Linked DNA regions of Coturnix japonica. The protein of the gene in region 1 interacts with the protein of each later gene in a biochemical or structural test. Links are inferred from orthologs where the notes say so. Each region holds a gene or a part of one and is shown on either strand. Other genes may lie near its edges.

The links. The genes of interacting proteins can lie anywhere in the genome.
Region 2: the proteins of PTTG1 (region 1) and ANAPC2 form a complex in vitro, tested with the Homo sapiens proteins (2 studies listed by BioGRID, with this or other methods). The link is inferred for Coturnix japonica from reciprocal best matches to the Homo sapiens genes PTTG1 and ANAPC2.

Annotation. Positions count from the first base shown.
Region 1 is NC_029528.1:9,901,550-9,905,775, forward strand, and holds PTTG1 (securin), read right to left. Parts: upstream 2,803-4,226; 5' UTR 2,683-2,802; intron 2,440-2,682; 5' UTR 2,419-2,439; coding exon 2,337-2,418; intron 2,055-2,336; coding exon 1,879-2,054; intron 1,536-1,878; coding exon 1,442-1,535; intron 982-1,441; coding exon 832-981; intron 500-831; coding exon 420-499; 3' UTR 349-419; downstream 1-348. Other genes in the region: pre-mRNA-splicing factor SLU7, read left to right, coding at 3,059-3,222, 3,368-3,521. UniProt on the Homo sapiens protein: Regulatory protein, which plays a central role in chromosome stability, in the p53/TP53 pathway, and DNA repair. Probably acts by blocking the action of key proteins.
Region 2 is NC_029532.1:1,027,173-1,031,379, forward strand, and holds the start of ANAPC2 (anaphase-promoting complex subunit 2), read left to right. Parts: upstream 1-1,398; 5' UTR 1,399-1,419; coding exon 1,420-1,500; intron 1,501-2,239; coding exon 2,240-2,862; intron 2,863-3,180; coding exon 3,181-3,313; intron 3,314-4,207. Other genes in the region: SSNA1 (Sjoegren syndrome nuclear autoantigen 1), read right to left, coding at 1,042-1,241, 1,321-1,372. UniProt on the Homo sapiens protein: Together with the RING-H2 protein ANAPC11, constitutes the catalytic component of the anaphase promoting complex/cyclosome (APC/C), a cell cycle-regulated E3 ubiquitin ligase that controls progression through mitosis and the G1 phase of the cell cycle.

The sequences.
Region 1 (4,226 bases):
GTCTTTCTTGTAGTGAGGGCCCCCATATTCCAGCTTTCATTAAGCACCTCAAACCAACTTTTATCCACTGTGGTAACAGCAGGCAACTATGAATAATGCCACCTCTAAACCTCACTTGTTTTCCATGATTACTGAAAAGAACTAGAACAATAACAGTGCTAAGAAATTGAATCTATACTTGTGACTTGAAGATTCATATATTAATATCTGGATACAGTTCAGAACACTGAATTATAGATGAGCTTTTAAGCAAGACTAAGTTTTGTTTTAATAGCCTGTCAGATAGTAAAATGCCTACATCTTGGGTGTGCAGCATATTAGCTCTACTGAAAGAAAAAGCAAGGTAAGTTTTATTTCACAAGTTAAAGTAACCTTTATTTATAAACATAAAATTCAACAGAAACTTCAGAGTATGCTTTTTAGAAGTCATAGTCCATAGGCGGCATATCAATGACGTAATCCAGCGTAGAGATGAAGTCAGCAGGTGGTTCTAGCAAGTCTGAAAGTTAGAAATAGAGGAGATCAATTACTCATAAAATCCAGAAGTTTACACTCCAGCTGGCTGCTGGTGGATTAGCATAAGCCTCTTGAATGGCTATGATGAGTTAGAAATATATTACAGAAAGTTACATGGCAGTGCAGCTTCGAGACCACTACCCATGCCAGTAGAGATGACCAGTTAAATTCAGCTCAGTTACATACAGAGTGCTCTTTGAGATAAGCATCCTGCTCTTGCACTTACAAGAGCAATAGTTGTTCACTACTGCAACAAACTCACTTCCTTCCTAAATCACTAATATGCGCTGAACCTCAGGCTAATTTTCCACTTACCAGACTCCCATGGCATCTTTTCAAGCTTTATAGGTGAAGAAGCTAGGTCCACAGGTTTGTCATAAGTACTTGGGAATATCATGAGAGGAACACCACGCAGCTTGATATCACTTAGTTTATCCTCTTCAGTAACATCAAAACTCTCAAAGTCTGTTTAGGAAAGACACGCTGTAGTTTAGTAACAGCGCACAATAGCATGTGAAGCTGCAAGTTGTCCTTGATTAAGTGAAATGGGAGTAGTTCCAGGACAACTCAGTCCAACAGTTCCTTCTTATGGAGTGCTTAGTTACAGTTACTTATTAGTGTCCATGCAATTTTGTATGCTAATGCTTATCTGAAGTGTATGTAACAGTCATTATAAAGCAAGAGTTTTAAGGAATTTTTCTAATCCCTATGCTGTGTCAACTATATCAAGCAATACGTATATTTAAAACACTCAAACAAGAACAAGGTCATGCTTCCAAAATATTGAATGCCCTTATGTTTAAGAAAGGACTCTGGAGAAATGTAATACCAGCTTAGTCACCACAACAGCTCAGTGGAAGTCTTGCAGCATCAACACTTAATCAAAGTCCAATTAGGTTTTAATAATTACCCCAAGAGTTCTTACCTTGAGGATCAAAAGGAAACATGTTTTCTATTTCTGGGTAAGCTTCATCACCCCCTCCATCCCAGCTTGCTAATCCAACAGCCTTTTCAGCAACCTTAAAATGAAGAAGTCAAGTTATTTGTGCTGTCGTGTTTTCTCAGTGTAGTACCCTTTCTGTGCCTGTAAACCTGGATTTTAACACCTTTGATACAAATAAGCTGCAAAAGGGAAAATGCTTCAGTTGAACTTGTATGATGGTACACAGTGGCAACAAATCTCTGCAGTATGATATTTAGGCTCATAACAATAAACTCCCACTAAATAGAATATGAACAAGACAGTAACACAGCCAATATTTTGTCTAGAGTTACTTCATTGCCCTTGTGTGTTCCCTAAGCTGTTGTAGGTACATCATGCATTCCTCTGATTCCCATCCATTACAGAAGGGTTGTACTCACTTTCTTTGCACTGCAAGGCTGATTTTTATCTTTCTTCTGTTCCTTCTTGCTTGTAACTCCTACAGTTCTGTTCACATTTCCAAGAGCCTTTCTGACAGAGTGAGATGTGGCTGGAGTTCTGATTGCTTTTTTTAGAAGTGGAGTATTGACTTGTGTTCTTTCTGATAAGGCTTTTGCTGCAGACAGGAAAGGAAAGCAAGCTTTAGCACCTTGTCAACCCTAAAGCTTGCTTCTAATGAAGTGTGTGTGCTAGAAAGCTAATTGTTGTTCTCCACTTCTAGATCAAAAGTATAAGCTCAAAAGACAGGTGATTTTCATATTTGTAATAGCTGATAAACTTAGTTTTACTATTTATCTGCTTAACCCATTTTGTTGTTCCTGTTCAAAACAGTGATTAACAAAACCCAGGACACGCACTTTACTCCATCCCACGCTGTCTCCATGGAGCATATACTCACATGATACCGAAGGGCGTCTTAACTGGTTCTTAGTAGCACCAACTTCACCATCCTCCTTATCCACAAAGATCAGCGTCGTCATCTCTGGGCTGATGAGACCACCCTGGAAAGGCAGACAGAAGATCTTGGCAGTTCTTGCTAATAGAAACAGCAAGTTTTTGATGTATGCTAGGAATGATGATGGCAGCTTGGACTGAGCACAGGGCCAGTATTAGATATGGCGGTTGATAACACGGCACCGTGCACTGGGCGGCCAAGCAACGCCTCGCAGGCCCGCCCTTCTTTAGGGCAGAAGGATCGCTCAACAGGCCAGAAAGAAAACATGGAGGAAAAACAGCACACTTACCTGCGGGAAAAGCCGATTTGGGAGCAGCAGAGCGAGGAGAAGAGCAGGGATAGCGATAAGCACAACCAGCCTCTACACCCGCCCCGCTGCTCCCATAGGCCGCTTTCGATTAACGCTCAGCCGCCCCATTGGTGACTACCGAGTTCCGGCTCCTCGTTGCCCTGGCAGTCAAGGGGCGGGGTCTCGGTGCGGCCTAGTTGGTAAACAGGGAGTGGAGGTGCGGGACCGGGTGGGCTTTGCTGGGGTGTTGGGTGGTCGTTGTGCCCGGTATGGCTGGGTGGAGGCTCTGGGCTATGAGGGGTAACCGGGGGGAGGCTCGTGGGATCGGTTCGGTTCGGAACGCGTGCGGTTTTTTAGTGTTTTAGGAGGAAGTAAAATGGCGTCTGGGACGGCGGTAAACGCGGCTCCTTCGGGAGGGCCGGGAGATGTGAGTATGGAGGAGCCGAAGAAGATGACGAGGGAGGATTGGAGGAAAAAGAAGGAGCTGGAGGAGCAGAGGAAGCTGGGGAACGCGCCTGCTGAGGTGGATGAGGAAGGAAAGTAAGTTCTGTAACACAGCTCGGTTTGTAAAGTAGGCTTATGTGGTTACAGAGTTGTGAAGCTGAGCTTAACATGAGGTTAATTAAGCTAAATTGTGCGGTGGTTTTTCCTGTGCCGTGTATTAATTTCATATCTCCTTTTACAGAGATATCAACCCTCACATTCCTCAGTACATATCTTCGGTCCCGTGGTACATAGATCCTTCCAAAAGACCTACGCTAAAGCATCAGAGGCCTCAGCCAGAGAAGCAGAAGCAGTACAGCTCCTCAGGAGACTGGTACAAACGGGGAGTGAAAGAGGTATGGGGATGCTTTTGTCCTAAAACAAAGCTTTTAATTATTCCTATGCAATAAGATATAAGTCAGTGACACCCTGCAAGATCTGGTTATATGCTTTGGAGGGTGACAGGAACTGGAAATTTGTACACAGCAAGCAGATGAGGAGAGGCTGAAGGAGCTGGGTATGTTCAGCCTGGAGAAGAGGAGGCTCAGGGGGGACCTCATTGCTCTCCATAACTTCCTGAGTTATGTTGGGAGGTTGTAGTGAGCTGGGGGTCGGCCTCTTCTCTCGTGTCATTAGTGATAGGACCAGAGGGAATAGTTTCAAGCTACAGCAGGGGAGATTCAGGCTGGACATTTGGAAGTATTACTTCTCAGGAAGGGTGGTCAGGCACTGGAATGCACTGCCCAGGGAGGTGGTGGAATCACCGACCCTGGGAGTGTTCAAGGGAAGATGTTGTGTTGAGGGACATGGTTTAGTGGGAGCTATTAGTAATAGGTGAACGGTTGGACTGGATGATCTTTTAGGTCTTTTCCAACCTTGGTGATACTATGATTCTATGATTCATTACCCAGTGTTTGGTAGTCACCTAAATGGCCTTTTGAGTTTGGTTGGAGCATGTGTGCTTTAGTTGTGTTAGAAAAGTAAATAAGTCAGCTGGGAGAAATACACAGATGAATCTTAGCATGTGTTTGTTTAATGTTTAACGCTGTCTTCTTTTGTTG
Region 2 (4,207 bases), on another chromosome or scaffold:
CATGGTGCGTGTATTAGGGTGAGTCCTGAGTCTCCCCTGGGCCGGGGAAGGGCAAGGAGCACCATCACACAGAGACCTGAATGCACAGGAGGGGACTCTGCTCCTCATTTCAGTCTGCAGGATGACCATGTTTCCTCTCCTCACCCCTTGGCTTCTCACCTGCTGTGACTCTGTCCCCTAATTTCAATAAACACGGCTTTGTTTGTAGGACAGGGGGTCGTGGTTTGTATCTCAGGGAAGGTTTCTTTTCCAACCTGTGCTGTTTGTGGTGTAACTTTACAACACCGCTTCCAAGCTGTTCCATTCTCACACAAGTTCTCCCCAACCTTTGGGTCCTGGAGTGCTTCCTCACATCACCTTCCCTTCCAAACAGTGTCCTGGTGGGTCTGACATCCCTGTGTGTCATCACAGCCCTATGAGGTGTGTTGGCTGAGTGCGGCAGCTGGGCTGTGCCCCTCGTGTGCTGCATTGGGGTGTGTGCTGATGGAAGTCTTGACTCTTTACAGTCATTAGCAGCTAATGTGGGAGATGCAGAGGGTCCATCAGGGTTTACACAGGGTATGGCAGCTGAACCAACTTCTCTTTTAGTGCTGGATGATAAATATTCCACAAATATTTATTTATATACTTATATTTATTACTAATGAGTGAATTGTGGCAGCTGGTTGCCTCCCAACCCCCAGCACTTCCCATGTTTAGTGCAGGTCCGGCTGGGTGAGGAGGATGCCGTGCTTACAGCACTTCAAAAGACACATGTGAGAAAGGAAAATGTAGGCGACCACCTGGAGAAACTTTTATTTCTTCAAGTGCTGAGTGGGGCTTGAATGAAGAGCTGAGCTCAGCTGAATGGAGCAGGCACAGAACCGTGGGATCGTTTGAACTGGAAGGGGCCTTAAAGGCCATCAGGTCCCACTCCCTGCAGTGCTCATGGACACCCTGAGCTCCATCAGTGCTCAGAGCTCCATTCCTGACCTCAAATGTCTGCACCAACTCCTCCCCGCTCTGTCTCCCCCTGGTGTATGGGGTTCCCTATGGCCGTACCTTGCCATAAGCCGCCTCGCTCTCAGCGATGCTGTTTTCCAGCTGCCGTTTTGCAGCCAGGTTCCGCGCCGTTCGCTCGGAGCTTCGGGCCAAGCGCTCTGTGAGCGCCGCGATGCGGCTCTGCAGCCGTTCTCTCTCCGCCTCCTCCTCCCGGATCCTCTCGCTCAGCTCATCCCGCCGTGCTCGGAGCTCGGCCAGCCCTGCTCGGACCCACCACCACCACCATCACCGTGTGAGCACCGGCTGCTCGCTGCCCCCCTCCCGTCCCCGCTCACCCACCCTCCAGCAGCGCAGCGTTGTAGCCCTGCAGCGTTTCCCCGGTTCCGCTCATCGTGCGGCCCCAACGGCGGCTCCGCGCTCCGCCCCTTCCTGCGGGACATGGAGGCGGCGGGTGCGGGGCTGTCGGCGGCGTGGAGCGCACTCAGTGCCGCCCTGGTACCGCCCGCAGCGCTGGGGCTGGTGAGCGGGGAGAGGGGGCAAAGGGATGGGGGGATAGACGGGACGGGATGGGGGGGTGTGGGTCACGGTGCGGCCCCAGCAGCGGGTAATGGGGGTAACGGTGGCCGTTGTGCGGGTGGTTGGGCTGAGCCCCCCCCGGCACATCGCTGCCGTGTGCGGGATGCGGCTTGTCCGAGGGCATAGAGGTGGTGCTGGTCCGCTCCGAAAGTGATGCCTCCTGTTGTGTTCTGTAGGAGCTGCGATAGATACAAAGAGATGGGAGCGTAAATAGAGCAAATTGGCCGGCACTGTGATGAACGAGAGACGTGTGCTCCATTCGCTTCCATGTCAGACTGCCCCTTGCTGCCGTACGTCACATAGCAGTAGTGTATTGGTGGGAGGTTCAGCCTCGGCTGCCGTCCTACCCACATCCCCCTCTGACACTGTGGGCCAGTACAATAAAATAGGAGGCATCACTTTCAGAGCAGCCCTCGTTAAATATGTAATGTAGTTAACATATACAAGCAACAGAACTGATTTTAATCCAGTAGCTTTGGGTCTGTGGGATGGGCACAGCCCACACGTCGAGGGTCCCCCCTGGTACGTGTCTGCCTAGAGTCAGAATGGTCGGGTTGGGAGAATCCTTACAGCCCACCCCCCCCTGCCATGGGCTGCCAGCCCCGCACCGTGCCCAGGGATGGGGGCATAAAGGTCTGGCTGTGTGCTCCGTGCTCAACCTTTCATCCCCTCTGCTCCCCAGGCAGCGGGGCGCTGTGACCCGGTTCGCCCACTGCAGGATGCGGAGCTGCGGGCCGCCCTGGAGGTGCTGCGCTGTTACGGGCTGCACGCTGCGGTGGAGGAGTGGTTCCTCGAGGTGCTGCAGACCGACCTGCAGGCACACATCGCCCCCGAGTTCTGGAACTGCGTCGGTCAATATGAGAACACGGCGGAGGAGCAGCAGTGCTCAGTGCTCCTCCTGGATGCGTTTTGTCTCCTCAAGTGCCGCCTGGAGCCCTACCTGAGCAGCATGGAGCTCCTGGAGGGATGCACCAAGGCCGGGCTGCTCCTGGGGACGGGAGCTCAGACGCTGCGGGAGAAGGTGTACACCATGTTCAAAGCCATCCTGTTCTTCTCCACCACCAAACCCTTCCAGGAGATGATCCAGCAGTTCTACAGCCGCACCTTCCGGATATACATGCGGCAGTGGAAGAAGGGAGAAGAGGGAATGAATGAGTGTGAGAGCAGCATGAGTGAGGCCGAGCAGGAGAGTGACACGGAGGAGAGCGGAGGGGAGAGCGCGGTGTGTGCGGGCTGCGGCAGCAGGAGGGAGCAGTGCTGGTGCCCCACGGCCATGGAGCGGTTCCGGCAGCTCAATGACATCCTGTACGTATGGCACAGCCAAGGGCAGGTGTTGGGGCTCTGAGCACTGATGGAGCTGTGGGTGTCCCTGTGCACTGCAGGGAGTGGGACCTAATGGCCTTTAAGGTCCCTTCCAACTCAAATGATTCTGTGATTCTATAACCCTATGACAGTGTTTCTGAAGATAGGATGGCAGCTGTGTGATGTGTTATTGCTGCCTGCAATCAGAGTGCTTAAATTAAGAGCACCTGCACAGCACATGGCAGCAGGTGTGCTCTGTTAGCTCAGTTTTCTCTTCATGCTTTTGCTTCTGCTCACTCACTCGAGGTTCTGTGTCTGCAGCCGCCAGCTCAATTTGCTGGAGAGGGTGAGTGCTGATGCTGTGACCACCATCCTGCACAGGATGATCAAGGAGAGGATGGAGCGACGCTGCCGGGGTGATTATGAGCACTCCTTCCTGAACGAGTTCCAGGAGGTAAGGGAGGCCCTGGCTATGGAGATGTGGAGCTGCTCCTGTTCCTGCTGCTAAATTCCCAACTCTGCCTCAATTCCCCAGTCCTGGACTGTGACTTCCACCAGCCCTGGTAGAAGAGGAGTGGTTAAAACTTTACATTTGAGATTAATGTTAGAGGGTCTGCTCTCTCAGTTGAGGGAACTGGGCTTGTTCAGCTTGGAGTAGAGAAGACTCCAGGGAGAGTCTTGCCCAGTGTCCTTCCTCACGCCTCCTCAGTTCTCTCGCTGCTGCCTTGCACTGAGTTTGTGTCGAGCTCTTTGCTGTGTATGACCTTAAAGCTCTTCTCAAGGTTACGGCTGCTCTGGGGCACGGGCTGTGCTCTGGGACACGGGCTGTGCTCTGCACACTCACTCTGTGCTCTTTGTTCCTTGATGCATGGCCTTACGTTGGTCTGCACTGACGAACAAAGTGTGAGGTCAGGTTGCCATGCGAACCAGGCAGCTCCGTGCTGTTGTCCTGGTTTCCTCGCTGTGTGCCGTGCTGGGCATTTGTGTTGTCTGCAAACACAGGCGGTGATTTGGTGTTGGCTTCCCTACAGTTGCTGTGCAACACTTTCTTCTCTGGCCCTGCTGTAAAGGGGCACTCAGAGACAAACTCCTGGGGAGAATGGCTGGGTAAAGGTGCTCCTCACCATCCAGGTGCTTTGCATCAACGATCACACTTCCCTTTTGCTTTTCAGCTTTCCCAGTACAGGTCTGGTGCTTGGGTGCTCTGTGCTGCAGCACATTCTTCTGCCTTGTGGTTCTATGGGCAGAACTCATGCACTCCTCCAGTCCATGGTCAAACAGCTGAGCATTAACAGCAGCACACCACACCTAAAGCTGGTTATCAAAACATAACGCCGCCTCATAACTC